Linked DNA regions of Drosophila melanogaster. The protein of the gene in region 3 interacts with the protein of the main gene of each other region in a pairwise test. Each region holds a gene or a part of one and is shown on either strand. Other genes may lie near its edges.

Region 1 (7,850 bases), about 14 Mb from region 3:
CCCTTAAAAGTAGCAGCAACAGCACATGGACCACATGTCACCAACCCCATTATTTCCGACGAAAACTGGTGGCAGTCAGTTTTTCCGAGTACACAAGTCTATTTCCATGGGTATTACTGAAAATGAGGCTTATATCTATAAGTTATTAAGCGAGCATTAATATGACATGTTTGTATCGAATTGGTTTAAAAATGCATATGGCTTCAAGTCTTGTTTACCTAGCATTTGTTGCACATTTTTTTTTTAAGAGTGTAAAAAGTCAATCGCAAAGCTTGACGAATGGGTTTTCTACACTCCTTTATATATTATTTTAGGTTTATAAATTAACAATATTTAAAATATCCGTATCAGATGCATTTGTTGGTTAGCGGAATGAAGATAATAGCACTCTTAGTATTGGCGAATCTGGGCTTTGGTGAGTTCATTGCAGATCCAGATTGAGATATCAGCCTCTAATATGACAGGAAATTACAATATATTCCACAGTTCTAAGTGAATCCTTAGCAGAAATGGACAGGCTGGCGACGTGGAGGCTTCATAATATTTCAAACAAGTACAAATACCTATCCACCGGAAACCCCGAGTTCTACCAGTGGATAGAAAGGGTAAACACCGTTGCCGATGAATTCAATCACTACAATAAGCATCGGCAAAGACTTGAGGATCAAATTACTGAGCGCTTGATAACGATCAGATCCATAATTGCCATAAGAAACGCAAGCAAGAGATGTCTTCGATTCTACCTTAATCAGGAAGCTGAACTTGAAAGTGCCTACAAGTCCTCCAATGAAAGAAAACAACAGGTTCTCTACCAAAATAGTGTAAGATGCCCTCATGGATTGGATGACGGCAGGCTTGGTGACCCTTACTTTGTTGACTACTTATGATAAATATGTTTAACCAAATCAAATAAAATATCGCTTTTGATTGAAATACTTTGGAATAATTCAAGCTTAATTAATTATGGGCAAGCCTGTTGAATATTTGTTTGAATTTGTGTGATAAGGTTTTTTTAACCGCAGTTGCTTTGCATGGCTTAAGTATTTAAGCTTAATCTATTTAATATGCTTAATATGCATGTGCATATCCATCGATTTGCTTTGCCCTTTGTAGACTTTCCCATTTTAGCTATTCACTTCAGTTAGCATTTCGAACCGCCAATATGAAGTTTATGGCAATATGCCTATTGGCAAATATTGGCTACAGTAAGTACATAGTACATTTGTACAGATATCCCAAGACAGACACTCATTTAAGCAATATTTATGCAGTACTTGGCACTACAATTGGCCAGCTTAATGACGAAGCCACAATTCGACTAAAGGGACTTGTGGAGAAATATAAACTGCAAGCTCTTAGCAATCCCGAATTCTCTCAGTGGATTGGCAAACTTGAGAAAACTAGCAAGTCGAGAAGATTGGAAGACAAAATGAAGGTCAAAGCTGAATTTAAAAACTACGACGAACGTCGCTTGCAATTGGAAAATAAAATTAGGGAACGCATTACGGCGATCGATGACCTCATATCCGATATTATGGCCAAAGTCCCGATAAAGGATAAAGGGTGTCTCAAGTATTACCAACGCCAGAAAAGATCCCTTAAATTGGCCCACAATTTTTCGAATTTAACTAAGCAAACAAACCTCATACGCAACTCGAAACAATGCGAAACAACTAAAGTGCAGTCTAGTGAACTAAGTGAAAGCTCTGAAAATCCGGATGAGTATAGTTATTACTAAGCTAGTATTACTAGTATCTAGATAGTGCATTATATCAATATATACACATATATGTATCTTTCGAGAGCTTCCAGCAACGAGTTTCCGGCCCTGTTAATATTGATTATAATCAATCTCGTTGACCATACTTTCATTTCGCAGAGCCCGTGGCCATTTTTATTGCATCCACAATTCGGCTGACCACATTTTAGCTTCATTTACAGTTATTTGGCCGGCCCCCACCTGCACAGATACTGTCACACCACCGGCCGCCGACTAAATGCCTACGCCAACAGCTACGCCCACGGCCACACCCACGCCCACTGCCACGCCCCGCAGGCAAAACCGCAAATTCAATTTTGGTTTAGAGCCTACAAACATTTTGCAGCGTGTTTATGTCCGGCTGCATTGTTGCGAGTAGTTTTCGCTCCTGGCCCGCTTTTAATGCAATTTATGGGAAGTGTTTGCCCCGGATTCGGTTGCCACTGACCACAAAGCGATCTTTTGTGATATGGAGAGTGGATGTGGATGTAGGCGCGGGGCATGGGGTATGGGGCATGCGGCATGTGGCATGGGTGGGTTAAAATAGTGGTCGCGGTCTCTAGTTGGGTTTTCATTAAAGCATGACCGGTTGCCAACTGACAGTTCTTAGTGGCCATGTCCGCATCATAATCGTCAATCGAACTTTGGACAAATTTGCAATTTTGCAGATTGCGGATGCGAGTCCATATGGTCGCATTTCTATCTAGATCAGGCAATAAGGCTAAATTTTAGTTTACAGATTAATGAAGCAAAGAAAAAAGTAAAATTTCTATTAACTGAACATATAAATATGTTTTTTTTTATTACATCAATGCTAGTGCTTCCTTTTACCGAAAACCTATTGAATACGCTAAAAAATTGGAATAGTCGCAAGCGGAAGTCGTCCAAAAAAATCCTTAAGAATTTTGGAACCAGTTTTTCTACTTGTCGTATCGAACCAGGCGCGTGTCGTCGCCGACCTCCTCCAGATCCTTTGGATCGCGGCGGAAGCGATAAGTGCCGACATCCTGGTTGGCCGATTCCGGCAACGTCACCTTGATGCCCTTGTACTCGGTTCGACCTTCCCTGACCTCCGGCACCCGCAGCTCCATCTCGGCCTTGTACTCGTCATCGTTACCAATGTCCACGTCCTGGACGTTCTTTTGCACGGTGGGATCCTCCTCGTCCTGGTTCCAGCCATCAATCTCGATGGGGACAATGGGGTTGCCGTCGACGCCTACGACGGAACTAGGTGCGCCAGTAGGCAGGATCTCCACGGTATCTCCAGAAATCGGATTCTCTGCTGGTGGCGACTCAACTGCATCCGCGTCCACTATGTTGGTCACCTCTTTGAATGGAGTATGGTCCATCAATGTCAGCGAATTGACGAAATTGCGATTAAACTCTACGTCAGTCTTGGCCATCTCATTTATATTGATATCTATCACGGTCACGCCATCGATGTTCCGCGGACGGTCAATGGTGAGGCAAGTAAGACCAGTAGACATTTTGGAGTGCAAGGTCGAGCGGGCCACACGGACACGGTGCAGCGCCAGCTGATTCCTCAGCATCGAAAGATTGCGAAACATGGTTTTTGTCGGTGTTTCGAGTGCGGAAACTAACTACCCAACAGAACAAAAACCGAAGTTAAATTTAAAAAACGTTCTTATTTACAAACAAAAATTGGAAGGTCTTATGTTGCCGAAATTTTAGATATGACTAAAATTCCCAGCTAAACCCGACAACTGACAAATCTCGATTGTGAAGGAAGTTAAAGGCCAGGCTACACTGGTTACTGATAATTACTGAAATTGAAATATAAATGAAATCACTATCGCCGTATCAATATCTTTATTGGTGCATTTTATGTGAAGTACACAAGCGTTTAAACATATTCTTTTGTCACCCTCTTATACCTATTGACAACTCGAACATTCCAATTCCAATTCCAATTCCAACAAATACTATATACTCGTTTTATACCTAAATTTCGGTAGGGTAACAATCAAGAAGTTTATAGATTTATACCTAAAATAGTACATAAAACAATTCTTCCATCCTTAATTCATATTAGCTCACTCCGTAGATCTAACTACCTTTTACATAAGGTAGCGAACAAATTTTAGGTTTTAACGTTTTCGCTTAGGGGCACTTCCGGTTGCCCTTCGCACCTTCCGCTTGCCAGACGTGGAGGTTTCTGATTTCTCCTCGAAAGACGACTCCTCCTCCTTGCCAGTGCGCACCTCCCGATTTACTTTGTAGGCGGCGCCCATTCTCTTAATGTTCTCCTTGTGCACCACTTCGTGTTTAACAATCCGGTGGGGATAATCCGTGCCGAGGACGCAGCCGTATGCCCGCTGATCCACCAGCGACGCCTTCCAGGGCTCATAAATACAGCCAGCAGGATATTTTGAGAGTTCCGGCACATACTTCCTGATATAGTGCCCTTGGGGATCCGTTTTCTTGCCAAACGCCACCGGACTGTAGACGCGAAAATACTGGTGAAAGAAAGCGGACGCAGATAGCCACATCCAGTTGCCAGCGTTTAGTGCCCAGTCCTGATCCAGCAGCAGCTGCTCGAACACCCGCTGTCCCTCCTCCCAACTGATCCAGAGGTCTCCGCGCGTTAAGAAACATGCCACTGCATGCCGGGCCAGATGATGGATCCAACCCTCCTGGCGCAGCTGACGCATGATGGCGTCGATGAAAGGATATCCTGTGCGTCCGTGTGTCCAGGCCTCCAAGTGATCTGGATGCTCCTGCCACGGAATTTGCATGCAGTATACATTGCCCAACATTCGATCGAAATTGGGTTCCGCAGCCGCCACTGTGTAGTAAAATTCCCTCCACATGAGTTGTCCAATGAGCGAAACGGGCGGCTGCGAGTGCTTCGGCTGGCGTTTGATAATTTCCTTGAGCTTTTGATTGAACAGTCGGGCACTAAGGCATCCAAATTTGAGGTAAGGGCTTAGTACGGTAGTGCTAGGCTCCAGCGAGTTGGGTGCCGTGTTGGGCTTCTCAAAGCGGGCAACCCAAATTTCATCCTTTAGGGATTCCTCCATGCGGCGCAGTGCCTCTGTTTCGCCTGTTTGATAAAAAGAAATCCACATTGTTGTAGTTGTGATCAAGAGTTTAACTATGTTTTTACCTCCCGGAAACTTATTAGGGCCCAGTTCCTCCGGGCGTTTTACTAATTGCTTCATCGTAGGACAATCATAGGCCGCCGAATCCTTTTGCTCCACCTCATCTTTGGGTGGTGTAGGCATGTTTTTAAGCTTTTCAGGAACCCCTAGAACTTTAGGTACCTTTAGTTGCTCCACAATGCCCAGGAACTTTTGATAGGTAATTGGAGCCTTGCCAAGATTCTTCGCTATTACTAATTCCGGATTATAAATCGTGTGGGAGCAATGAGTTTCCACTCTCACACCCTCTGCCTTGGCCAACTTCTGCACGGCAGCATCCCGGGTCACGGAGTACGGCTCGATATCTGTCTCAAAAGTTAGCATTTCCACGCGCCAACTCTTAAAAATACGGGGAAAAACCTCTGCGGGCTTCCCGCGCACCACAAACAGACGGGAATTAAGTTTCCGAAGCTGGTTATCCAAGTCCTCCAGCGTTTGCTGCAGGAATCGCCATCGATTGGCACCCACTTGCATCCAATCGAGGATTCCTGGATCCAAAATGAAAATCGGGCGAACAAAGTATTTTCCTGGAGCAGCGTTAGCGGCGGTAAAAATGTGCGATAATGCCGGATTGTCGTGCAACCGGAGTCCTTTACGGAACCAGTGGACCAACGTGGACCTTTGTGAATCCATTTTGGCACGTGTCCCCGATTTCAAACGGTACCTATGCGGATTTATCGTAGAAAATATATTTCAAAAGCAAGAGCGTTCTAACGAACCTGCCAACACGTTTTCTGAACTTATTTACACTGCGCTGCAAGGAAAGTGTATAATGTTCTGGTGAGCGTGTTTATTTTGTTCACATACGTAGATAGGGCAAGTGCAAATAATATGAAGACAAATTTCATTGCATAATATGAAATTTAAATATGTTCACAATAATATTTTATGATGTAAAAACGTAGAACTTGTTAAACGTTCATGCTCTACATGCTTTAATCAATTTAAAATTACAAAATGAAATGTCTAACCTCTTTTTACATGTTTTGAGCAAGATATTGTATATACATTTTTTTAAATCTTTCAAGAATTTATGTTTCAAGTCGTCCGTCGAGTGTAAACAGCTGTTTTGCGATTCGAAAATACCGAAGTATGGCAATAGCGACCAAGTTGGCCATCCTCACTTTCAGTATTTTTTGCAGAGTTTATTTGGTGCACAAGCACCGGTAGTCAATATAATTATAATTACATTAAACCACCTAAAACAAGCTGATCAACCGCAATCAAACATCTCAACGGGATAATAATAAACGCCAGAGAGTGGTAAGTTCCTAACAATACGGCCACGAAGAGCGAACAGCTCGATTAACTGAAATTCCCTCGCATATCTTTCGATGGCATTGCAGGCGCACATCCGCCAATTGCTCAACATTAAGCGAGGAAAACACGGCGGAAAAATGGATCTGCTCGACTCAATACTCAACGCCATGGATGCGCCGCCTGCCAACAACGAGCAACAGAAGACGCTGATCAAGAAACAGCGCGAAATGTTAGAGCGGATGCAGAACAAACAGAAAGAGGAGCTCCTCCGATTCCGAAAATATGTAGACGAACGGATGGGGCGATTCGCCAAGGACGACAGGCGATGCATCGAGTTTCAGCCGCTGGATAAAGTGCATCGCTCGGTGATCCACGAAGTAGCCGAAAATGGCGGCTTCATTGCCATGAGCTTTGGCCGCGAGGATGTGGACCGACATTCGGTTGTGTACAAAAAGGAACACGCTCCTGGCGAGGATGAGGTCACGGCCCGTCGGAACGGAGACGGTTGGAACGAGGAGATAGCCAAGGAGTACGCGGAGCGACGGCGGGAACGATTGGCGCAGGAGCAAAGTGACAAAGAAGCCTCCACATCCGAAGCAGCAAGTTCAGGCTCGTCCACATCCACATCAGCGGATCAGGACTCCGGCGAAGTTAAGCCCACGACCAACTACAAGGCCAAGTATGCCCACCTCATCGGAGAGTCGGCCGCACTGCAGGCGGCCCGTAAGACGGAGACCAACCAAAGCTACGGATTCGTGCCTAGCAAGAATAAGAAGGATGTGCGCTCCATCGAACAAACTTTGGCCGACATCCAGGCCAAAAAGCGTCTGCGATTGGCTCAGCAGCAGGAGCTGGAGCAAGAGCAGCAAGCGCAAGAGGCAACCACATCCACAGAGGACCCATGAGTCGCCTGTGACCCAATTAGTATACAGATAGCTCACTTAATGCAAGACTGTCGCAACCAAAAAAAAGGATTATACTTCTTAAATCAGAATCAGAGAATCAGACATGACATGCTCGTCTTGTTCGCAAACTCCTGCTCGATAACATCGACAATATTTGACAAAACAGAGCAGTAATCATCTTCAGGGAGCCAAAGATTTTTAAATTTATAGTATTCATACTATGTTTTTGCCCACATTAATCGTATTTGGTAATAGGCTTGATACTAATTTTTATCTTAGGTTAGCCCCATTAAATTAAATGCCCTTTTTTTTTGAGTAATGACAGCCTTGTATCGAGTGAGATTAGTTTTGTTGATTCAGATTAGTCACATGAAAGGTCTCTGACTGCCATGTAAATCATAAGTAATAAGCAATTTCATTTGTTGGCCAATTAAGATCCGAAAGTTGTACATGTTTTAAGCAAGTTATGTGTCCGTAGCAGAGTCCGAATCGCAATATCTATTTATATAATAAAAACCTAAAAAAAAAAACGTCGCAAGGTTCAAAAAAATCTTAAAAACGGGGCGCCACTCAAAAATCACCAAAAAATACAGAATATTTCCATTCCAGTATTTTCTTGTTCGTCACTTCTTTCTTGTCACGGTGGTGAAGAAGCAGTCACAGTTTAATGCCAGCCGAAAGCCGCACCACGTGTTGCCCATTCCAAGAAAAATAAACTAAATTAGCACGATGGCTAATAGAAAACGCAACAAAATTTTGCTTAAT
Region 2 (7,240 bases), on a different chromosome or scaffold from region 3:
GATTAAAACCAAAGAATTCTAGTTAAGGAGCAGCTGACAACAAGTTGTTAAATTTTTCAATTCTTTGGCCAAAGGCAGAATACTTAAATGTATCAGAACCACAGTCAAGCCACAACAAGTTCTTGGTTGTGCACTCGACAGCTTTTAAATTAAAATCACAATATTTAATGCATTGCGCTTCCTAACCCGAATTTTATGTTTGGAGCTAGATAAATAAATGCCCCCTATAATAAATGTTAAAATATGCCTCAGATTAAAGTGAGATTTTGGTATGACGTTTACATTTTCTTCAGGGGTTTTAACACTAGCAGCTCTCATCAACACTTTATTAATATAAATTCAATTTAAAACCGAGACTGGTTGACCTGATTACCTTAATTCAGCGAATCTCCACCAGATAAGCATCCTCGCATCATCATAATCGGGCAACTTGTATCGAGGGCATCAGCATTATTAGCTCCGCCATCGCCGACAACAAAGTGATAAAGTGATTCGACATCCAGGCATCAGGGAGTCAATTATATAATGATGCGTCGATATCGAAGTACATGGTGGCTGTTGCCTCGCCTGTTTCGCCTGACAAGCTCGTTAAAATTTATGCTTTGTTTGTATTTCAGGAAAATGGTAGTCCAGGATGCTCCTCGCATGACGCTCTCATTTGTGACGTAGTCCACAGGACTCGACAGGATGCAAGGGGATAAAACCAACTATTAGTCTGCCCCAGTTGGTTGTGACAGGCAGCAACTATCACAATAGCTGTCAATGTTTGGACATTTGTCGATGACCATAAAACAGAAGCTTAAATATAGAATCGTTTTTCGAAAGGGGACATTATTGGCGGCACTTGAGGTTGATGAATAGCGCAGAGAATATTTATTGGCATTAGCGATAAGATCAGCCCAGACGAGTGAAATAATTTTCAAACTAAGAATAGAGAACAATTGAGTGCAATTTTTAATAGATTGCAAAGTTCTTTCTTCAGTAATTATAAAGTTTCAATTGCGTTTGTGTTAACACAACCATATTCGAGCACAATACAATTTATTTTTATTAGCTCTTTGCCTTAATTGTGAGCCATAAATGATAATTGGTTCATTGACGATGCTAATTAAATTACATGAATAATTCGGTTAACTCTGCATATGGCAAAATGGAACAACAGGCAAATGTATTTAATTGAGGTATACTTGGCAATTAAAATACTGTTTTCACAAAAGCAAATTAGAAAATAAGCCAAAATTCAAAGTGGGAACACCAATTTCGAAAAAATTTGATTTTCAATGGCAATCTGCAAGTTTAACTGAAATTAAATGAAAAGTAAATATGGGCTACTGAATTAAACGTAAAAGCGTAACAAATAATAAAGCAGGAAAATTTCATTCAGTCAGTAAATATAATTTTTATGCCAGCGGCACACGGAAAAAACGTTTTATTCGCTGTCCAAAGATTCCCCGCAGATAATAGTAAATATTTGAAATTAAATCTGTGTTTGTCGGCCAGTTAACCAATTGAGTGCAATCCAGAGCCCGCATTAAAATGCAATAAATCTGCCTCGAGCAGGCTTTAACTTTCCCGATGAGAGGCCCCATCAGGCTGTCTTTTCCGGGCTCGAGTTCTCAGTTGCGAGCACAGGACCCCCTCTCACAGGCAGGAGCCAGTGGAATCCTGCACATGTTTACATGACGTTGGCCTGACTGCAGTCGCGGCTGCATGCAAAATTAATAAGCCATAACAAGTTGGTTTATGATGCGGCTTCCTGGGACTGGGAAACCGTTCTTCTTAGGGGCGAATTAATTAGCGAAGCAGTGAAAGGAAGGGGCATAAAGTTGTGCATTCAAGAAAGCTCTTCCACGTCCTTGCCAACACATCCTCGGAGTCATGGTGTGGATGAGGTAGCTGCTGAAGGTCGTTCAAATAATGGCCCATTGAGCTTACCAATTCATTCATAATAAGAAATCTAGTTATTTTCTTAACCTAAATCGATGGTTCTGAACAGTAAGAAGTATTGTAAATGATCTTCTTCTTAAGCATCTCCCAAAAGGATAGAATTACCATTAATGTAATGTCCACTCTTTTTATGCTGCACCCTCTTTTCCCATTTAACTTAAACATCGCGTATTTATTTCTGGTACATTTAGTACCTTAACGTTTTATTTCTTTAGGCATAGGACACTTTGGAAAGGTTCCTAGAATGGCAGGCAAGTGTGCCGGGCGTAATTGTAGTAGGCGTGGGGACCACAAGCCTTGTCCTCCGAGGTTTCCTGGCGTGTTGCTATCTGTGCATCCACAGAGCTGAGGGCCAGGCCCAGGAAGACTAGCAAGAAACCATTGAATACGTTCATCTTGTCGAGTAGTGCTGAATGATCGGCTGTGGCAGGTAGTGAGCTATTTATACCCGACTACACGTTGCAATTAATATGGATGCTACGTGATACGGCGTTAAGCTTGCCATTTAAGTTTTTCCGGCATTTAAATCCCATCACTTACGTAAGCTGTTCGCTCTAGTTTAACATTTCTCCGATGACCCTCTCTGTTGCGATGGCTCACTTGGCGTATGCTTGATGGCAAATTGGATGCCATCAATGCTTGCCCGAGTTTGCAGGCGCACATGAATCGTATGTTTGTTCTGGCTTCTTTCGGCACAGTACTTAACTTTGACGCGATTATAAGTCGCATACAGCGACAAACGTCCAGTTCATGTAATCGAGCGAGTTGGATACGCTGAGACAAGGCAGCATGTCTTTACTTCAATATTACGATGAAGTCGGCAAAAACTTACATTGTTGACTAATAAAGTCAAAGGGCCTCTGTGAAAACTTCCGCGAAGATGCACATTGTGTGTTGGTTTCGGGACTCAAGCGTAGTCTCACAGATGTGCTGTTCTCAGCTGTTCTTGCCGTCAACTCTGGCGCTGGCGCAAGAGGTGGAATAGTACCATGAAAGATATGCGTATGCTGCCAGCTTTGTGAGGAGCATGGTGGAAAAAGAATACTAGGCAAGTGCCCATCAGCGGGTCAAGCCACCCCAACAAGCAGAAGCGGATCAAAGAACCCGCCTTTTGGTTGGCAGTAGACATAATCGTCCCAAGGGGCGTAAACGCTTTCCATTGCGATTTTCGCACGCTCGCAAAGGTACAGGATGAGATATCCCGGAGGTTCCCAGCCACACAGTTCTGGCATTGCAGGAACCGCGTTGTGGACGTTCTCAGATTCGAAGAAAGAAGGGAAATCTTAACTGCTGAACACAATAGTGCATACAGAGCAGAGCAAGAAAAAGTAAAGCAGGTATTGTCGGAATACTATTTCCCCAAAATATCCAAGCTGGCCAATGAGATCGTGCAGAACTGCAGGACTTGTGCGAGGGCCAAGTAAGATAGGCACCCAATGAAGCAAGAATTCGGTGAAACGCCAATACTGTCACACAATACTGTCTTGCACAAAGACATTTTTTTTTATGCTGACAACAAGTTATTCCTCACTTGCGTCGAGAAGTTTTCTTAATTTGCCATCGTACAACCTACCGCCTCGAGAACTATTAAAGACCATGTATTGCGACAACGAACCGTCGCTGAAGTCGCACACGATCGTGTCCATGCTTTGCAACAACTTTGGTGTAAGCATTACAAATGCATCACCACTAAACAGTACCTCCAACGGACAGGTGGAGCGTTTTCACATTGCTGGAGCTAGCCAGGTGCATAAGGATAGACAAGGGCATAAGTGATACGGTCGATATAGTAATGTTGGCCACTATCCAATATAATAATAGGTCGATTCACTCGGTCATCAAAAGGAGATCGGCTGACATCGTCCTAACGCAACCTGATGAGCCACACGTAGATTTCCACAATAGGATCCAGAAAGCTGAAAGGGATAGAGAAAACGCCTCGCCGCAGAATAGGGTATTCGATGTTAGCGAAAAGGTGTAGGTAAAATCCAACCGAAGACTCGGCAACAAGCTCATGTGCGAGGAAAGAGCTGTAGAAGCGGACATGGGGACCACGATCCTTATTGAGGAGAGGGTAGTCAAGGACAACAAGGACAACATACAACTCACTTACTTGTTTAATCACTTGTACTTTCCACATCGAAGGAAATTCAACACACTCTTTTCACCGACTGTGTCCTCAAGCTGTAACTCAATCTGCTTTAGCAAATTAGCAACAATTTTAATGATTGAGGTGTAGTAAATAAACAGGTAGTTTAGCTTTGCATCGATTTCATTACATTACAAATGGGATTTGCAAAGTTAGTTTGGCAAATAACTCATTTAACTAAGATCCAATTTACACTGACTTGGCTTAATTTGTTTTAGTGTTTTGAGTTAGCTAAAATTAATTAAGACACTTTAGAAAATGTATAATATGTGTCTCAATAATAATAACTGTTGAAAAGTTGTATCAATGAGCTTTGTAAATAATTTCCTTTAGCCTCAGTTTTTCCAATAATACCTTTTTCTAAGAATCATTTATAAGAGTCGTTGGCCTGACTGCAGTCGCCATTACAAGTTGGTTTATGATGCAGCTTCCTGGGACTGGGAAACCGTTCTTCTTAGGGGTGAATTAATTAGCGAAGCAGTGAAAGGGGCATAAAGTTGTGCATTCAAGAAAGCTCTTCCACGTATTGCCAACATTTCCTCGGAGTCATGGTGTGGATGAGGTAGCTGCTGAAGGTCGTTCAAATAATGGCCCATTGAGCTTACCAATTCATTCATAATAAGAAATCTAGTTATTTTCTTAACCTAAATCGATGGTTCTGAACAGTAAGAAGTATTGTAAATGATCTTCTTCTTAAGCATCTCCCAAAAGGATAGAATTACCATTAATGTAATGTCCACTCTTTTTATGCTGCACCCTCTTTTCCCGTTTAACTTAAACATCGCGTATTAATTTCTGGTACATTTAGTACCTTAACGTTTTATTTCTTTAGGCATAGGACACTTTGGAAAGGTTCCTAGAATGGCAGGCAAGTGTGCCGGGCGTAATTGTAGTAGGCGTGGGGACCACAAGCCTTGTCCTCCGAGGTTTCCTGGCGTGTTGCTATCTGTGCATCCACAGAGCTGAGGGCCAGGCCCAGGAAGACTAGCAAGAAACCATTGAATACGTTCATCTTGTCGAGTAGTGCTGAATGATCGGCTGTGGCAGGTAGTGAGCTATTTATACCCGACTACACGTTGCAATTAATATGGATGCTACGTGATACGGCGTTAAGCTTGCCATTTAAGTTTTTCCGGCATTTAAATCCCATCACTTACGTAAGCTGTTCGCTCTAGTTTAACATTTCTCCGATGACCCTTTCTGTTGCGATGGCTCACTTGGCGTATGCTTGATGGCAAGTTGGATGCGTAAACAAGCGAAATGAGCAGTCCACAGACACACATTACCCATTTTCCCACCCGTCTCTCTTCAGATCTCTTCAGTCTTTCTAGCCGCTTTAAATTAGATTTCTGTTTGAACTTGCCAAGAGAATTGAGTTCCCGTCAAGCACCACATCATCACATGTAATACTCCGCACTTACTTGTTTAATCACTTGCACTTCGCACATCGAAGGAAATTCAATACGCACTTTTTACGGGCTGTGTTCAGTAAATAAATAGTTATTTTAGCTTTGCATCGATTACATTACATTACAAATGGGATTTGCAAAGTTAGTTTAGCTAATAACTAATTTAACTAAGATCCCATTTACCTTGCCTTGGCCTAATTTGTTTTAGTGTGTTTAGTCTTTTTAAGAGACTTTAGAAAACTTGTAATATGTGTTTCAATAATAATAACTGTTGAAAATTTGTATCAATGAGCTTTGTAATTAATTTCCTTAAGTCTCAGTTTTTCCCATAATACCTTTTTATAAGAATCAATTTACCCAACAAAAGTTTACAAAATTTGGTCTACTGATAAATCCCTTACTTAAGCTTTAAAAAATTACTTATTTAGATTGGAAGTGCCATTGACGTTTTTCACAGTTTTGCCATGCATTATAGTTGCAACTCTTTTTCGCCAGTTGGTAAGTATTTAAAAATTAAAAATTCAATTTGAAATGACGAACGCTGCCTTTCGGCAACTTCCCGCAACCACTTCAACCGATTTTCTCTTGCGTTTCCCAATGAATACTTAATATTCCTCTTTTCGGATAGAAAGCAAAAGCCGAAAAGGAAAATCGGAAAATCGGAAAATCGGTAAAACCCAGCTGAGTGACGACTGCTGCCCGGAGCTTACATGGAGACATAATTACCCAGAAAGTTGGACTTGAGTAGGGCACATGGGGCGCCCGAATGTGGGGCGCCATTATGTGTAAGCGGATAGCTTTATGCCCCGGAATTGCAAAAGAAGAACTTAATTTTTAAGAGCACAACTTAAACTTTAGCGAAGCAAACAATTTTTGTTCGTGGCGAACTTTTAGGAGCTCCTCCGACTCGAATTTAATTAATTACACGAAAAATGCAGAGGGGGGAAGCCACCGGTAGTTGCTTTATTTTGGCACGTGATAAATTAATTTAAGCCAGCTCGAAAGCAGTTCGCATAATGTATTTGCATACACATCGCGAGGCGACGTCAGGTGGCATAAAACTGGATCATTTGGGGGGCGGATGGCGTGGGCAGGTAGTGGACGCCCGAATAGGTTTAGGTTATCGAATTGGGCGTGGCATCAACTTAATTACGCTACGCACGGCAGCTAATTGAGTTCGTAGCCCAACGAAAAATAAAACGCCATTAGTCTTGACATTGGTACTCAGTTTCGCTTTTCGCTTGGCGATTACACGCCATTTCCATGGTCTCACTGTGGAATAAATATGAAATACTATGAATTTAAGAAGTTAACTTAATATTAAGAATGCATTTATTTAAGTAATACAAGAGCATACAATTGTTATCTACGAATGTGTAATGGTTCAAGCAACCAAAACCTTTGCTAGCTTTTGCATATAAAGGTTAAGTTCGTCAGTAGTCTTTATCAAATTGATTATAGCAAATTTAGTTTACGCATAAGTTATATGTAAGTCTACTGAAAATTCAATTTGTTTTGTGTGAACTAAATAACTAAAAAAAAAATGCAAACCAATTAGAATACGTCTTCTTTTGCTGTTTTTGACACGAACCAAACGTGATTTTATTTTTGCAAAACCCTGAGTTATTCATTTTTGTTCTTCTTGGAAACCAAATAGGATGTTGATCTCTATTGTCCCAAAATCAGTTTCTCAATTGCCCAATTTTTTTTACAGCAAAATAAATATTTGCAATAA
Region 3 (9,551 bases):
CATGCAATTCAGTTAACTTTTTGATGAAAATGTTAGACCCCCCATGCAGACTGAATTTCTAAAAAAAAATATTCACAGGTTGGGTAAAAATTATGTGGGGAAGCAGACTGACCACTTCAGGAAAATCAGATAAACGACCCGAATTGAAACTACTTAGTTTGAATTCGTTAAACTTGTTACACATTGTGTAGGCAGTTAAATCTATTCGGAATCGAAATCGAAATCGGTATCTGCCGCTTACTGAAATATTTCAGAATATTTTAATTATGCATGGGCATAACCGTTTGCTGAGTATATTTTTCATTAATTAAGAAAGCATGAATTGGGATAGTCCTCTCGATTAAAAAAAATAATATATATATGCTCCCCACGGAGTTGACTATGGAAATTGCTTAATCAATTAATTTTCTCTAGATAAAATCAAGAGACCCTGATTTAAGTAATGAGATAGGCAACAAATTGAAAATCTTTTGATGGTAAAAAATCTTGTTCTATCCCTAGAAAATTAAAAATTTTGTATAGTATTTTGGGTCGATGCATACAATTTGGTGTGTCATATGAATGAGATTTAATTTTTGTGTTTTTTTTCCAACATTTAAATAGACGATCGGCTGCACAAACGCTCACGCAGTGAGTGTAGCACTTGTTCTAAATTAATCTTCATTAGGGTCACTTAAACAATAACAAAACGGACGGAGGTCGGGTCATACAGGGCAGCTGGGCAAGTGGGCAAGTGGGAAGTTGGGAGACTGGGCAGCCATATGTTGCAAGTTTTCCGTGCCGCAAAATAATCCGAACTCACGGAGAGTGCCGCAAACTTTGATTGAATTTTCATTAAATTTTTCGCTGCGGTTGGGAAGTTCACGCCATAAATCAAAAATTCAACTAGAAAATGTCAACTTTTCACTTTTAATTAGTTTGGCTGAGTATGAAAAAATTTTTAGGTCACGCTTTGCTGGCATAAATCAAAAATTCACTTGCGCAAATATTTGGAGAAATTTCAGTGCACCTAAAACTGTGGCGGTTTGCAAATATGCCGGGCCAACATGGGGCTGGCTTCACTGCCCTCCGCTGCGGGATGTGGTTGTTAAAATGTTTTTCCATGCCAGCGGCTTTCTTTTTAGGCAATTTTGCTGCATTATGCTGGCGACTTTGTTAGCAACATTTTTTCAAGCATTTTTAATTAAAACTTGAGCCTCCGAGAATCTGGCTAAAGGGCTGCTACAGTCATCTAATCGATTGCTTTACATCATAACCTTTGGTGTTGATTAAGCAATTTGAGACTATACGCTTTTATCTCCAATCGAATTTTTCTATTTGAGGGTCAGGGGTCAGCAACAACTGTTACCAGACTGGCGAAACATGGCAAACAGACTGTTCAGGCCAAAGCGGTAGTAAAAATCCCTCTGACTTTCCTCAGATTTGCCCCTCCTGCTCGATTCTTGTCGAACTTATCCTGCAGACATGTAAATTACGTTGGTTTTTGGTCTGTTTGCTGAATTTTCAACCAGACAGGACTTTGTCTGGCCACCCAAAGGACCCATTCCAATCGAGTCCCAGTCCCTCGTCGCCATTTACATTCCAAAATATTCTGTTGCACTTCCAGCCTCACCAGCTTACTCAAAAATGAATTTTTATGTTTTCGACAAATTCTATGTACCGAATGCTAATCCTTCAAGTTACTAACTACCTCGAGCTATTCTGACATGCCTTCATCAAATGAACTCGGCAGCATAAAAAAAGTATCTGGGAAAATTGTCACAACTTCTAGGTTCTTGCGACCAGAGAATCAGAAAAGCTTCTCGGTTAGCGTGAAAAGAAAGCTTTCTGCTCAAGGTAGCCAAGTGTGAGATCCATAATTCTGCTCAGCCTTCGCGGCCAATCGAAACCAAAACAACGCACATGTTACATAATCATATGTTTTATATATATAATCACAGATAAGACGACGAAGGGGAGTAATCCGTCGCCCATGTGTATCTCATATATATGTATGGTTTGCGCCTGCATCGCATGTGGCTAGCGTTTCGCCAGTGGATTGGATTACAAACACAATAAAACAACAATTAGTTTTAGTGCGAAAGCGGAAAAATGAGAGCAGGGCAACCGCAGTGCCGACAACAGTGCTGCGTCCCTTTAATGGACGACCGAGATGGAATACGATGAAGTGGGTCCCCGCAGCAAGGCCGAGCTAATGGGAGGGCAAAGTTCGTGGGATGTGCCACTCGACGGGAAAGAAGTGGCTGTTCTCGTTTACGACTTTAACTGCTAATGTTGGGCAAAAGCAAATCGCCGGATTTCTTATCCCACACTTAAAATCGCACAGACAAATCGGACAGATTTTCCAAAGTGATTTATGTGGAAGAGTTACGATCTTGGATGGGACAGTGCTGGGAAATACCCGGTTAATTGCACGCTTACTCATTTATTTTGCAAGACCCAAGAAATCAACGACAAACACTTATGATAATAGTTTGAATTCCTATATACTTGAACTGAAAACAATACAAAGTTGATTACAATGTCTACATAAACAAAGCTTTCTTATCTATCAAAATCGGTTTAGTTTCTTACGACTCCCCCTCCTTATATTGCCTATCTATCATGTTGCCATGAGCTATGTTTCTACATTCTTTGGTAATTTTCCTACTCTTACAGTCGTATGGCCACGACACTGGCGGAGGTGTGTGGCTCGGATGCCCGCAGGACGATCTCCCCGTGCTCGTCCTTGTAGTCCGCGTAATCCTTTGTGAGTATGCACTCCATGTTTAGGGCGGTCATAAGGCGTTTGGAGTTCTGGTTGCTGCAGGTAGATGTGACGACGGGAAATCCACGCTGGCGACCCAGCTCAATGGTGGCCTCCACCAGGCGGGTGCCCACTCTCTGGCGTCGAATGGACACGTCCACACCGAGCATGTACAGGTAAAGCGCCCGCTCCACTCCGTAGTGCTTGAAGATATTGGCCTGCCGCTCGATCCCGGCCAGAAACTTGTGTATCTTGTCCAGCAGGCACGTGATCTCCTTCTGCTCAGCCTCCTGGTACTCCCTCTCCAGATCCTCGGGTACCAATTCACCGGCCAGAACCACGCCCACAATGCGCTCCCCGTCGACGGCCACCAGGGAGAGATCCTGGGGTATGAGCGAGCGGTGTAGCTCAGCCTCCGCGGAAGACACCTCGCTCTGCTTGGGATCCTCCTGGGGGATCAGCATTAGCGGCTCCTGCTTGAAGAAGTGCACTGCGAGAAAGGCCTCGACCTCCTCGTAATCCCCGATTGTCATGGCGCGTATGGTGATCGCTGACATCTTCGCATTTGCCTCGCTCGCGGACTGAGACTGAGAGAAATTTAGCGCAATTTACTTGTTATATACATGCCAGGCCATCAAACATGCAGTGAGCTTGCGCCATCGTCTCCGTTCTGAGCTTTTCACGAATATGGGGCCCTCCTCCCAACGCACCGCCCACCTCCCACCGCCCAACCACCCACTGACCCGACGCACAGTTCTTATCAAAGCTTTTTTTCAAAATGATGTTCGCTAAACAAGCGGCCCCGAGGTTGAATGACACCAGTTTTGTTGTTCTGAGCGTGTGAATAATGATCTCAAACCATTTAGCGGTCCGATTGACGCCACCTGATTACGACGAGTCATTATACGGTTTATATGAGACCCCATATGTCTCGTAATACGGATCTTATCATTGGGTTAATATCTACGGAACATTATATGTAGCTATTTTACTTGCCGGTAGATACTGATCTCAAGTGTAGATTGCGCAGCTTTAGACTTAATATGTTTTTATATAGAGTGTATAACGGGTAATTCAAGACAGGTATTTTTAGGCAAGTAGTCCACTTGTGGATGGCATTTAAATATAATTTCTACCCGGCTCGAACTCGACTATAAGATACTCGTTCTTAAACGCAAGCTGTACCCTACATATAAAAAGTGATAGATATAATAAGCATCTGTTTAATCCTGAAACTGTAGCTCTGATAACATATCAGGTTTTCAGGATCCTGAAGTTCACACGGATTGGAAGCCACTAATCACCGGGATATATGGGTTAAAATTGCTTCTCAAACTTGGACAAAAGTTGTTAACTTGAGGTCTGTAGACGGCGATTCCACTCTCAAGTGGTGAATAATATTCCAAACAATGAGTGGTCCGGTGAATAAAATTGAACAGGTTTAAGGCAGGGCTTTGCTTTTGCATTTTGCGTGTTTCAATGCGAAACAAGTCGGTGGTTGAGTTCCCACCTTCTGTTCGACGAATCATTTGGCTAAATTATGAATCGCTGTTCAAACTCAAAATGCAGGTCATTAGTGCAATTTACATCAACCCCTTTTTAGTTTGCCCTCGTGGACTGTCACACGCACTTTACTGCACCACATTAACCCTTTGTTGCCCATCGCCGTTTTGCATTTTCCGCCCCCTAGTTGTCTTTTTCAATTATTTGCGGGGCTTGGTAGTCGTTGAACCCGTTTGAAGTTTAAAATCATTTTTTTTTATTTATTTATTTACTCTACGTGCAGCGCTGTTTTTTGATATCGCTCGCGGTCTTTATGGGAATTTAATTAGATTTAAAAGCCATAAACAAAACGCTATCTCGCTCTGGTCGCTTTTTAAGGTTGCTTTTACTTGGCATTTCGAGTCGCAATTGTTTTAAATTATTGGCATTTAATTTGTTGCGTCATTTTCAAGGTTTCCACATCCGATGACTTCAGTGGGGAAAACGAAAACGAATTAAAGTTTATTGAAATCGATTTTCACAGCGCAGAGCAAGAGCATTTGTAGCCATTTTGCGCGTTTCAAGTTTAATTTTCTATTTTTATTTTCGTGTTGATGACAACACCCAGAGGGGCTGGCTAGGATGGCATGGGATTTCCCGGACTACGTGACCCGCTTAACAAATTTGTGCGTGTTTGGGTTCGCCCAGTCCACGACCTCCAGGATCCGACTGCCGATAGCGTTTGCGCCACCCTCGCTTTATAGTTATTGCACTTTTATCTGCCTGACCATTTCAAAAGTCACTTTTGGCCTCCACTGTCCACTCTTCCATTTAATTAAAAACGAATGCACTGGCAGGGGTCAAAGTTCGTTCCCACGATCACCTCTACGCCTATCTGAGCTGGTATCTTAATGCCTGCGGGTTTTTCAGGCGCTAAAACGGTTTGCTACCTTTTGTTGCCCGAACTATGCGCTTTGTATCTATCACTTAATCAGACATTTCATTATCATAACTTCAAGGTCCCCATTAAACCTCAACTATTGAGCTGTGAATAGCTATAATCAATCCATTAGTTCGTTTTAACAATCACAATAATTATGGCATTTTGGCATGTAAGAAGTTAAGTCGAATTTGCAGGCACTGCGAAATACTAAAGATTTAGTTTATGAGCTCCATTTGAAATTGTTTTGTTAGCAATTAGTGGTTTGAGTTATGTAAGTTAAAGTAGAGCAAAATAATTTAATTTTAAGTTGGAGCACTCAAATTTGATTGGCCGCCGCCAACTTTTCCCCCTCAAATTTTGGCCGGTCTTTAATGGCATCATAAAGCTGTTAGCAAATATTAGGTGCATATTTCGGTGAGCATAGTTTTAATTAGTTTCAATTACTTCTTAAACTTTTTATTGGATTCGTCCCGACCATGCGAATTACCGTTAATCACCCCATTAAGATGAGCTAAAAGCCGAAAAACGAAATCATAACTTTTATTTTCACATAATTAAATCGACATTAGAGGTCGTTTAACTTTAGTTAACTACATTTAAGCCAAACGAGGTTAATTTTCGTGGTGGCAAGCGGGTCGCCAGGGTGGCAAAACTGGGTGGAAAAGCATACGGGCTCACCTGGACATTCGGAGGCCTTTGGAGTCCTGCGGATGATCCAATATTCGCTTGATGATGTTGCACATGGTTAAGTTACCGTTAACACTAATCACCACCAAGGTCGACACACACGATAACCGATAACGATAGTTTGTTGTCGATAGCCGATTGCCGACAATCGATTGCCGATGGCCGATAACGATAGGTGCAACACCGCCAGTTGTCCGACGCGTTGCTCCAGCAAAAGTTTCGCAACGACTACTGGCCCGTCAATTGGAGCTGCCTCAACGAGTGCCACAATGTCATCCACACGCACACAGACGAACCAGCACGGAGGACACCACACACATGCACACGAAAGAGGAAACATTTGCGATTTCCTTGCGCGACGTTTCCTGCTGTCGCAAAGAGTACTTGAAAGAGTAGGTTAAAAGAGCGCCACTCTCTTTCATCATTGGCGCAAACTCGCTCGCATGTGGATCCCATTTGTTTGATGAGAAAAGTATGAGTAGGTTGTGTGAGGGGGAGGTGAGTTGTTGCTGGCACAGGTGAGTCCATAATTCTGGCTTGTAAATACAAATAAAGGTACATAGTTTCTGATGCAAAATTGAATACAAAACTGGACACATTTGCTAAGATAGTTTTTGAAAAGAAAATACCTCTTTTCACAACTTTTCTGGAAAAACTCTCTCGCTAGCGCATTAAATATTTAAAATTATTGATTACATTTCTGGACCTGCTTCACCTTTCACCGCCCAGCCCGCCCACACAAACAAAACAAACTCAACGTTACTTTGTATTAACTTGAACTGTATCAGAGAGTTCTGCAATTTAAGAGCGTGCTCCGCTCTCTTCGACTCTCGTTGTTTCGTCGTATAAGACGGAGCGCGGCTGCCTGTTGATAAGCATTTACATTTACATAAGGTAAATAAGGAGCTGTGGATCCTAACAGCTGAACTCCGCGGGGGGGATGGGGGTCATGTAAACAACTACAAAAGTTTTCGGCCAGCAAAAGAGTTATTATGGAAAAAATCAAAATGGGCTATCGAAAAAATTAATTATCCTGAACGGAAGCGAATGCAACTTTTTTTTAAAAAAGTTTTAACAAAGTAAAGCAACATGGCACCGCGAAATGTATTCAACTTTCATTAACCAATATAGTAATGGAGTTTATTTTTCTACCTTTACAATATTCATAACTCGAGTATGAGAGGTGTAAAAAAAAATGATATCATAAAAAAAATGTAAAAAAGATAACAACAAAGACTTTAAAATTGTCGCAACTAAGAGGAAAAAATAAATATCAAAAGATGCAAGTAACCAATATTTAATTAAGTGGGCTGCTGTTTATGACATTTTATTCAAACAGAGAGTAAAACCCTAAAGGCTTTTGCGCATTTACATCCTTAAATATTGCCTCGATTCTTAAATTTCTTTATTTGCTTGGAAACCAGTTGTCTATTTATTAATCAGAAAAATCAATATCTACGTTTTATATAAAGTAAAATGTATCTCAAAAATACACAAGAGCTCAAGGCAAAGCCCTTAAAATAGAAAACCTACATTGGTTTAATTTTGTTGTATCAAATGCAGTTAAATGTTGTTAGCTTTTACAACATTTTTTGTGCAACAAAAACGTAATGTTTAAACTCTCTAATTATTATGCGTAGTCAATCTTAATAAAAGACCCAAGAAATGTGACACCAAAAATGCATTAAAATTAAGCAAATAAATTACACACATGTGCTTAATTTTGCGTTTAGGGATTATGTACAAGAAATTAGCAAGGCTATGCGATTTTGACATTATTCAATAACAAATTCATCTTATACCTTTTATCTGCACAGGCACACTTTCTGAATAAACATATGGCTGAAGCGTGTATCGCCGGGAATTAGTTTAAAGCAAGTTGCCACTTCAATTAGGGCCATGTCTGGCCAACGAGCGTCTGAATGGCCCCGGTGGCATCGGACTGCTGATAAGGATAACTGCCGAGTTAATCCCCGATGTCGTTGCCAAACATTCAATCACCGGCTGTCAGAAAGTTGCAGCACGGGGGCTTAAGGCAACTTTGAAAATTCCAAAACCCACTAAGACAGAGAGCAATGTGTTTGCAGCAACAAAACAAAATGCATATCAAATTGTTGACTTAATGCAGAAGGGGGAAAACAGATTGATGTCGAGCATGAGCCAAGAGTTCTTATCACAAGTTTTTCCCTACAGCTGTTTGCTTTTCTTTTCACGCTTTGCAAACCGTGAACGATTTAATGTCTGCAAAGTTATCAAACTGTTGATAGCAGCGCATTGGAAAATGAGCACTTAACTTTTGTCTCCCAGACTTAGCCAATTGGGAATAATCTTGCGCATCTTAAGCGATTGTTTTTATTAAAGAAGAAGTTGTCTGGAAATGAGTTGAATTAAAGAGCTGAACATTAAAATCATATGATTAAGTTTATTGAAAAGAATGAAATCTGTAGAAACCTACACTTTGTTACCACAATTATAGGATCAAACGTGAATCCTACGATATAAATACAATAAATCTATAAGATGTCTATTGACCTTGGAAGTTCAAGGATAGGTCACGGCGGGCCGTCTCGAGGATTACTGAGAAATCCAAAGCAATTAGGCAAAATGATTTGTGAAACGAGAAAGGATTTGAGAACCGATGACGCTCCTTCCCATCTTTTCTCAAAAATCAATGACTTGACGCAAAATTCGCGTGGGACGAAACACTAGAAAAGCGGGAAAAACAGAAAAGATTCATGCCCTTTGTTTTCCAATACAACTGACCGTTTGCGGGCGTTTGAGGTCCAAAGTCAAGACGTCAGACTGATTGTCCTGACATTTGTGAAGGTGGAAAATCAATAAGCGGAGAAAACGGAGAAAGAGATAGGCGGCCAAAAACGCAGCCGCCTGACGTGGCAAACTATTTTACACCTGAACTGTCTGGCCTGTCAAAAAAGAGCTCAGGTGCGACTGCGGAGTGAGGTTTCGGGAAAAACAAATAGAAAATGCGCGCGGCGAAAGGTGGAGCTGGAACGGAAGGTACAAGCCGAGCGCTCCGGCTTAATGAAGATATTAGACAGCGTCTGAGGAACGGGTTCCCATCTTGACAGCCATGACGGTCATAATAAGGCTGGGTGTCATAAGCTGTTGAAAGTCGATTGAAAAGGTCGAAGGAACTCGCAGCGGGCAAACTCGACTACCAAAATATTTCTCGGCGTTGCACATTCAGTCGCACTATGGGCTTATGACCACAATTTCCGCTTAAAATCCAAGAAAATGCCATAGAAACGGTTAAATTTTCGGACTATGGAATATATGACATTTACCTACATATATTTGTAAGTATCTCTGTATTGAATTTCAATTTTAAAGATTTCTATCTTTCTGTTCTAAACTTCTACGGTGTTAGAAGTTTAACTAGATACTAGTTAGATCGATTGCTCTAGGTTCCCCTGTCAATTTTTATGCCAAATTTTTTGCTTTAAATTTTTCTGAGTGCGCCGAGCTAAAAAAAAGGGGAATTCCATAGAACCGACAACAACAACAGAAGTTGCCAACTTGTCAGCTGACAGGCAGGCGGCGTTCTTAGGGCTGTCCCCCAACCACCATTCTCCACAACACCCATCACCCAGCCCCCTTAAGCCGTCAACCAACTCGTGTCAAAAGCCCCTTGCCTGCGGCATGTGAGCGGAAAAGGAAAAGGTGTGGGGCGAT
Region 4 (8,206 bases), on a different chromosome or scaffold from region 3:
GCTGTCTGCTTGTGCTTTTTTTCTCATGGTGGCGATGCTCGCTCGCTGTGTCTCTGCTGTTCTGGTCCTCATTATCGTAAATTTTTATGCTAAATACATTTCGTTGTTGGACCCAAAGATACAAACACCAAAACCGAAAGCGACAAAAGAAAATCCTGACCCTGGGCGTCAGAATTGGGATGCTCTTTTAAAAATGGACCCAAATTAAAGAGGACAGTTCACCCTTAATAAGTAGTAAGAATGCAAAAAAAGTATTGAAAGAAATGATATTTAATGTAAATATATTTAAAACGTAATAGATACAATTTCTTACATATATCAGTTGCGTACAAAATATATATACATATATGTATATACATATAGAAATTATAACATTTTTATATTATTTTTCTTTTTTGGCCTACAGGATGCCGAAACACATCGCATGTAAGAAAATACATGCTCTTCCTAGTCAAATGTACATTAGGGTACCACCATTTGTGGCAGATGCCGTCCCGTGGATGCGACTCCTCCGATGACCAACATAATCAAGGAATTCGCATATGGAGGGCCGGCCCGTGGATCCTGACAAATTGAACAATTTAAAGAGGGCTTTGTGGGTTTATTGTGGACGAGCTAAGTAGGTCTGTGTGCCGGTGATACAAGAGCTTGGGCGGCTCGTGGTGCCGCCTTGAAGTAAGCCGAATCGGAGTTCGAAAAAATATAAAAGTATTAAAGGTCTGAACGAATGGATACACAGGAATTTTTCACGTTCTGGAAGATTTCACATTTTTTGTTATTTATCACGCTTGAAAGATAATCTTGCAAATTTTCCGCGGCTGTTTTTAAAGAGATTGTCACCCTAGCGGCTTCCTTCCGAAAAGGTTTGTATTCACTCTTTAACATCTGCTTTTTAAGTTGAGTTGTTATCATCTCATTACTTTTTTCTATAAATTCATAGAACTCCCTGCCAGTATACTTATCTTGGTCCAAGAACCTAAACCGTTGAAGACATAGTCCTTGATGTTTTTCGAATTTGAGCTTAAAGGAGTCTAGTTTTTGAATTTCAATCTGCAACTGATCCCCTAATTTCTTGCTTCTGCAGTATTCATCCCGTACCAGTTTTTTGGCCAGATTGGATGATCTTCGGACGGATTGCATCTGAGTCAGTTGGTGCTGTAGTTTATGGCTTGCAAACTTCAGCTGAAGAATTTCGGGATGAACTTCCTTTACATTTGTCAAAAATATATGATCATCCAGGCAGGGATCTATTTTTGGGCATTCCGGTATATTGGTACCTAGTTGGTAATTGAGTCGATTTACGCGCCGCTTTAAGCGAAACACCTCATCGTAAATATCTTCGAGTTCCAGATTGCTTTTCTCGTTTGATTCTTCTAGAACTTCCTCAGCGATCCAGCAATCTTCGGATTGCAAAACACTCTGCATCGTGCAGTGAAACACTTTTTTTGGCCCGTTATGTTTGAATGCGAACTTTGATTGTGCCAGTTTCTTATCATTTGGTTTAGTGTTTTCCATTTTACTTATTCCTGCTGCCTTGCACGATAAATTTTGGTCCACTGATTGCAGTATTGGTAATGAATTCATCTTGAATTCATTCCTCCAAATTAACCAATATCCAATTAACTGTGAACTTCAAAACGGAAACTAACTCGGTACACAACGAGCACTTCCAGTGTTTTCAAATCATCTAACACAAATCTCAATGAAGGCTTAGATAAAATATCGTATATATCGATCTATCTATGGGTTTGTTCGATCTTTTAGTTGGGTACGTGCAATTATTATATCCTTTTTCAAAGCGTCCCTTAATTTGTAGTTTTAACTACAACTAATGCAGTCTTCAACGCAGATATATACGCAATATATAAAAATGTTATCGGCAAGAAAATCCACTGAAAAATTTGCTCAACTCCCATTCACGGAATTTCAAATCCTAACAAAAAGCCTGCTTAATGTGAATTTAAAATACCAAAATGAAGACGGAAAAAGTTGGGATACTATACTGTCCCAAATAAAATAGCAAAAACATAAACTTATTTATATATAAATACAATTATAAGGAAAATACATACTTATGTTGTTATTTAAGCCAGGTTCTAGACACTCTGAACTCCAAAAATGTAAGAAGAGTTTGGATGCAGTGTGCACTCAATGGGTAAGCTCACATTATTGAATAGATTTTGCGGAAGGCAGAAGCTTTCCTTTTCACTGAATGACAGCGGAAAATGAAGTGAAATCTAATTAAAACCCTTTGCTAAAATCACAATTGTCAGCGAAAGCTCACGCACACCTGCTCGCAAAACTCACGAGCACACAAACACTGACACAGACAGATGGACAGACACCGGCGATTCCCATACGCAAACAAATAGAGGATCCGATTCTGAGCCCGAGTGGGGCGGTCCTGGCAGGTGAAAAACAGACGTCAGCTGTCCAACTACCCGAATGCGGAATCTGGTGAAAACAGTGCAAAAGTTTTGACCAGAAATAAAAGAAAGGCGAACTGTACTCGGCTTTGGAAGCCACCACCACTTAGTGATGCCAAAGAGAACCTGTGTTTGTAAGATTATTACTAGGAAAACCAAACTTGAATAATACCAATAAATATACAGGAAAGACAGGACAAATCCAATTTATGTTACATGTTTTGGATGTCTACATCACCCATGAAACTCCGCGAATCTAGCCATTAGTTAAATGGCTTAATAAAAATTGTTTATGTTTATTAGGGTAAATCATTGACAGTTTCATAATTTGATTGTAAATGATGGTAATCGGTAGCTTACAATAAGCTGGCTCACCTTTTTTTTTAAGATTTCTTAGGATAGGTAAGTGCCATCTCTGATTTGAATCTAGATGCCACGGGGTGAGGGGCACATAACCTCCAGGAGCGAATAAAACGCGCTGTTGCACACGAAAAATAACAAGCTGCGTTGGTCAATTCATCGAATGTCGGTCAGGGCTGCCGCCAGGGAGAAATGGATTGGGCAATGGGCACTGGGCAATGGGAAGCAGGAGCCCGGAGGTGGGTAAGACCACCTGGGCGGAGGTCCATGCAGGGGGCGACATAAAAGTTTCACACCCAGCCATTTGGCCATCAGTGTCCAACAGAGCCGTTGGGCCGGAGTTGCTGTGTTTGAATTAAAAGAAATTAGTTTAGTTATGCCAATGCTCCCCGGGCTACGCTATTGAGTTATCGGCCAGGCAGGAGTGGGACAACTTGGTGCCGGTGACAGGAGGCAACTCGGATGGATAAATTGCAAGTTTTCCCTTACAATTTTGAGTGTGTGCTGCTTGTCCTTGCGTGCCTGGAATTTCAGAAAAAATAAACGCTTTGCGTGTTGCTCTTCTGATGTCGTTTAACCATTATGTGGCATGAATTTGCCATTTTCATTTAAATGCTGCTCTTGGCAGCGAGTCAACTCGTTGGCTTTTTAGCGACTGTTCTGCATTCATAAGCAGCAATCGTATATATCCTGCGGAATGTACTGAAATTGTTGTTGGATTTAGGTCTAAATGTATACAAAACTAGTATTCTTATTTGTTAAGCCCTGAATAAATTTAATTTTTAAATTGCATAAATTGCAGTGCAGTGAAATCATCTGTAATACCCATAGTACCAAAAACCTTATTTTTGTGAATGATTTTGTGTTGCGTACAAAACCTAGATTTCACGCTGATCATTTCCATTCCTAAGTTTTGAAAACAGCAGAGGTGCCATCACCAGTGACGAACCAGATTATGCTCATGCTGGTGCCATCGAAATTGATAGTGGAAATATGTGTGCTGAATGGGATATTTAAGCGCGCCTATCAAACACGCGCACAATAAATCTTCGTCACGGGCCCAAATTGACATTTTACAGCCAAAAACCAGAAACCAAAGCCACGCAGAGGACAAAGTAAGTTCCACTAGTCCGTGTTCCAGCTGCTTTTTTGCTCCTGCGGCTGCCGCTGTTTCGAAAGCCACTGATATTGTTGTCAACGATGATGGCCCAAGGCATCAGCCACATGTGTGGGAGCCAGAGCTCGTCCCTCCTCAAAGTGCCCTCGCACATGGTTGGCAAAGCCAAACCTTTATTGCCACAGCTCCATGGAGCAACAGCGAAAATTTAATATCTGGCTGGGGCGTGGCTCCATTGGAGCTGGTCCGTTGTTGCTGGCGATCAGAACTCATCGCATTATCCTTTGGCCTGGTGGCGGTTACTCGCTCAAAATAATTGCACACTGCACCCCCAATAAGTCTGTTCGCCCGTTTGATACAGAGAAATTTCTATTCGCATTTCCCAAACAAAAGTGGTGTACAAAAATAAAACTGCATATAAGTTTTAAAACATACGCCATACAAAATATATTAAAAAATGTCCGAAAAAATATTGTGCTTTTCCTCGTTCTGGTTTTCAGTGTCTCTGTGAAGTCATCTGTCAGTACCCTAATGCAAAAAGCATGAAACCTCAGGCCAGCTGTCAACACAACAAGCAAATTGCCGCGGAAGCATCAGTTTTGAGGCAACTAGACTTTTTTGATATGGAAAAACCCCTATCAGTAAGAGTCACTAGAACTATAGGTTTATTTTTAAAAATAATCAGCTCCTTTAACACAAAGTTAGACTTCTAAGTAGACAAACAAAATTTAACCCTCGTCTAATTTGTGTTTCTTTTGAGATTGGTTTTGATACTCAGCTTTCCATGCATTATGTCCGAATCTAAAGTCAACTTCATATTTTAGTAGATTTTTGGAACGATACTCATGTACAAATGATACAAACTGCATGAGAAGTGCACGGACTAAAAACTGTATTAATTAAGGGATCCTCCATACGCTTTATAGGTACACCAAACTAATTACAATTTAAGTAACTTTTAAATTACGTCACCAGAATTTCGAGGTCTTTAAAGCAATCAGAATCCTAGATAAGTTTGTCAAAGTTTTCGTGCTATAGTTATTCTCAAAAAAACATGTTTTTGGTGAACATATTGATTGTTTTGGCTCTATGTTTGGTATAATTAAATATTTAGTAATTTTAAATGAAATCTGATTTATTCTCCTGTATTCTAGTTGGTGTTGGTTATAGCTGATCTTCAGGAGGACCATCTAAATGAACACAATCGGTTGAGGGAGAAGCATGGAAGTCCGCCTCTGACCTTGGACGATGAACTCACAAAGGGATGCGAAGAATATGCTAAAGTATTTCGTTGGTTAATAACAATGTTACCTTTTTACACTTTTAATACCCTCGAACAGGTGCTAGCCAATAATGAAAAGTTAGAGCATTCAAGTTCTGCCGGTCAAAACTATGGTGAAAACTTGTGCATGCGGTCACAAACCCCTCTGCAATGTGTTCAAGACTGGTACGACGAAATCGCGGACTACGACTTTGAAAAGCCACAGTTTGCAATGTCAACGGGTCATTTCACCGCCCTCGTTTGGAAGAATGCGAAAAAAATGGGTATTGGGCAAGCCAAGGACAAAAAGGGTTACTACTGGGTGGTAGCAAGATATTATCCACCAGTCAATGTGAACGGGCAGTTCGAAGAAAATGTTCTTCCGCCGATCAAAGGGTAAGCAAATTAATTACATCTGTAGTTTTTTCTTTCATTTTATTTCATTGCAGGGAAGGTGATGAAAATGGTCAAGGCAATTTGAATAGATTTCAAGTTGACAATATTCCCATCATAGTCATGCTTTGGTTATGCTGGCAATTCACAAATTGAGGGTCATTATCACTTTGAAGTTTTTGTGCCGCAGTTCTTGTAAATTTGTAGTTAAGCAATTTGAAAAACCAATTACTGATATTTGAAACTACTCTGTACCCAATAATAAATTTCACTTTTTGGAAGTTTGGTGAATATGCCATTGTTAGTTATGTAAAACCATTCTATCTAGTTGCTTGCAACTTGTAGTTCACCAGGAAGATATTAAAACAGCACACGATATTTAATGATCGAAACTGGGGAGTGCTGCCTTAACACTGGGGTGTTTGGCATTTACAAAAACTATTTAAATGCATGAAATATTTTGAATTAAAAAAAAGAGAGAATGTTATAGTCGAGTTCCCCGACTATCTAATACCCGTTACTCAGCTGCTGGCAGTGAGAACGTGATATTTCATAATTTTCTGGCATATCGATAGATATTGGAGAATTTAATGGGAAGGCGTGGCTGCATGGATGAACAAACTTGTGCTTTAGAATCTGTATGCTTTATCTTAACCTTATAGCTTATATAATTCCTGAAATTTCGACGGTCATACGAACGACCAGACAGACGGACATGATCCTGATCAAGAATAAATATACTTTATACGGTCAGAAACTCTTCCTTCTACATACTTCCTTGACATACTTTTTAACGAATCTAGTGTATTCTACTTAATTCTACGAGTAACGGGTATAAAATGTGTTAAAATTTATATTATTTGAAACAGCTATTACTACAGCTATAGAAATCCAATCTAAGACGACACAGCACTGGTGGGCGTGTGAGTATGTTGGGTTAATTTGAATTCGTGCGATAGGGATATTCAGTTTTTTTTTTTCACTAGGCGCGGGTTGTTCTGGCCTTTTTCTTTCCGCATTTATTTTTATCTTTTTTGGCAATCAGCATCAGCCGAAAGGAATTCCCCATTGACTATGCCGGTGTCAACAAAGTGGCGGAAAAGAATTAGGTATACTGTCTCGGTTGGCTGTTTATACCCTTCTACTATCTCAATCCTTAACAAGTTTTAGATGGCTTAATATATTTATAAAATTATATAAATTGTAATCATTTTTATGAATTATATCACATTACTTTACCACTAAGTCAAAATGGGTGACTTATGCACCTTTTGGGGTGGTACCTACCACGTACTGGGTATCTATAAGTCGGTGCAATCAACTAGAGCGCTATTTTATTTCAAGCTTTGTTTCCTACATGTCTGTTCCCAAGTGGAAGTCGATGTCTGGGGCTCAGCAGCTGCCGGGAGCGCATTAAATCCTTAAGCACTCATTATTATTCAATCAGATATGGAGTCGAATGTCTTTTTGTTTGTGTCTTACTTAGCCTCGCTTTCTGGGTGGCTGCGCCGTGCGTGGGTCCACCTAATGACATTCAAATTGCTTCCATCTCTGGTCGGTTTCAATTGGAACACCTTGCACAAAAATTAATGGAATTATAGATCACAGCGTCTAGGGATGCATGTTCCCCAGATATTTCTTTGACGTCTGGTTGAGTGTTAAATGTAATGAAAGCAGAAATTCTATACGGATTTGAAAGTTGGAAATTGGTACACTTCTTAAAGAAAATAGTGTGAAAAATGTGTGTCATTTGGAAAACTGTATTTTTTATGCATACCTTTAATGCGTTTGCTTTTGAGGGCTGAATAACTATCTTTCGAATGTCCTTTAGTTCGGGCACTTATAAAATGCTCCCCATCACCACTCTATTATGGTTTGGGTTCGACGGATAGCCGAGTTTGTCAACTATTTACAACTTGAACTTGGTCGTAATATTTATGTGCATCGTAAAGGCCGAAAGTTGGAGCGACGCACTGAGAAAATGTTGTGAAATCAAATTTACACACAAACCATCCCTAATGACCTAGCCCACAGACAGAACGGAAACACGGAGGCGCCACTCCGGAAAAGGACGAAGCCAAGTCGCGGAGCGTTGTGTCTCGTTGGCAGAACTTCATTCGCGGGGCTGGAAATTGTTTAATTTCGCCCTCTCTTAATTATCTGCAGTGTGCCGGGTGCTTAAATTATAATGGCGCTGACCTAATTGAGTAATAATTAAAATTAAGTGCATGCTAAATTGTTATTAATTATAAAGTGCACGCAAAGATGCCACCAACTTTCATCGATAGCGTGCTAAGGGATACTTAAAGGGCCCGGGCTAGTTGGTTGCAAGTGTCACCAATCGAGAAGGGCAGACTGAAATCTATGGCCCATTCAGACCATTTACAATATTCTCTTTTTAATAAAATAGCACTGCGGCCAAAAGTTAATTTACTTTTCGCGACGCGTAATAACTTTGGCCAAATATTAAATGCGGTACTGGCAACTAATGCAATCACACCCTCTATTCAGATTGAGAGACTGCAGCAGTTGCACTGACATTTCAATATAAATTATTGCCAATGGGAGTGGATAAAATGTCGCATGTACCCGGAACATGAAAACACCGAACAACAAATAGACGACTGGCTGGTGGCGGAACAAAAACAA

What was found.
Region 1: the proteins of Ddr (region 3) and CG17470 interact in a two-hybrid assay, tested with the Drosophila melanogaster proteins (one large-scale study listed by BioGRID).
Region 2: the proteins of Ddr (region 3) and Met75Cb interact in a two-hybrid assay, tested with the Drosophila melanogaster proteins (one large-scale study listed by BioGRID).
Region 4: the proteins of Ddr (region 3) and CG31482 interact in a two-hybrid assay, tested with the Drosophila melanogaster proteins (one large-scale study listed by BioGRID).

Annotation. Positions count from the first base shown.
Region 1 is NT_033779.5:20,639,778-20,647,627, forward strand, and holds CG17470 (uncharacterized protein), read right to left. Parts: upstream 3,468-7,850; 5' UTR 3,328-3,467; coding exon 2,680-3,327; 3' UTR 2,529-2,679; downstream 1-2,528. Other genes in the region: CG31680 (uncharacterized protein), read left to right, coding at 373-415, 487-887; Sfp38D (seminal fluid protein 38D), read left to right, coding at 1,163-1,205, 1,272-1,738; phr6-4 ((6-4)-photolyase), read right to left, coding at 3,868-4,823, 4,887-5,553; CG2608 (uncharacterized protein), read left to right, coding at 6,318-7,085.
Region 2 is NT_037436.4:18,467,257-18,474,496, forward strand, and holds Met75Cb (Met75Cb), read right to left. Parts: upstream 2,363-7,240; 5' UTR 2,343-2,362; coding exon 2,187-2,342; 3' UTR 2,122-2,186; downstream 1-2,121. Other genes in the region: Met75Ca, read right to left, coding at 4,953-5,108.
Region 3 is NT_033779.5:6,249,628-6,259,178, reverse strand, and holds the start of Ddr (discoidin domain receptor), read right to left. Parts: upstream 6,057-9,551; 5' UTR 5,850-6,056; intron 3,321-5,849; exon of another isoform or gene 3,304-3,320; coding exon of another isoform or gene 2,653-3,303; exon of another isoform or gene 2,357-2,652; intron 1-2,356. Other genes in the region: AANATL2 (arylalkylamine N-acetyltransferase-like 2), read right to left, coding at 2,653-3,303.
Region 4 is NT_033777.3:6,596,353-6,604,558, forward strand, and holds CG31482 (uncharacterized protein), read left to right. Parts: upstream 1-4,889; 5' UTR 4,890-4,957; coding exon 4,958-4,999; intron 5,000-5,057; coding exon 5,058-5,186; intron 5,187-5,243; coding exon 5,244-5,560; intron 5,561-5,613; coding exon 5,614-5,713; 3' UTR 5,714-5,849; downstream 5,850-8,206. Other genes in the region: CG1138 (uncharacterized protein), read right to left, coding at 712-1,584.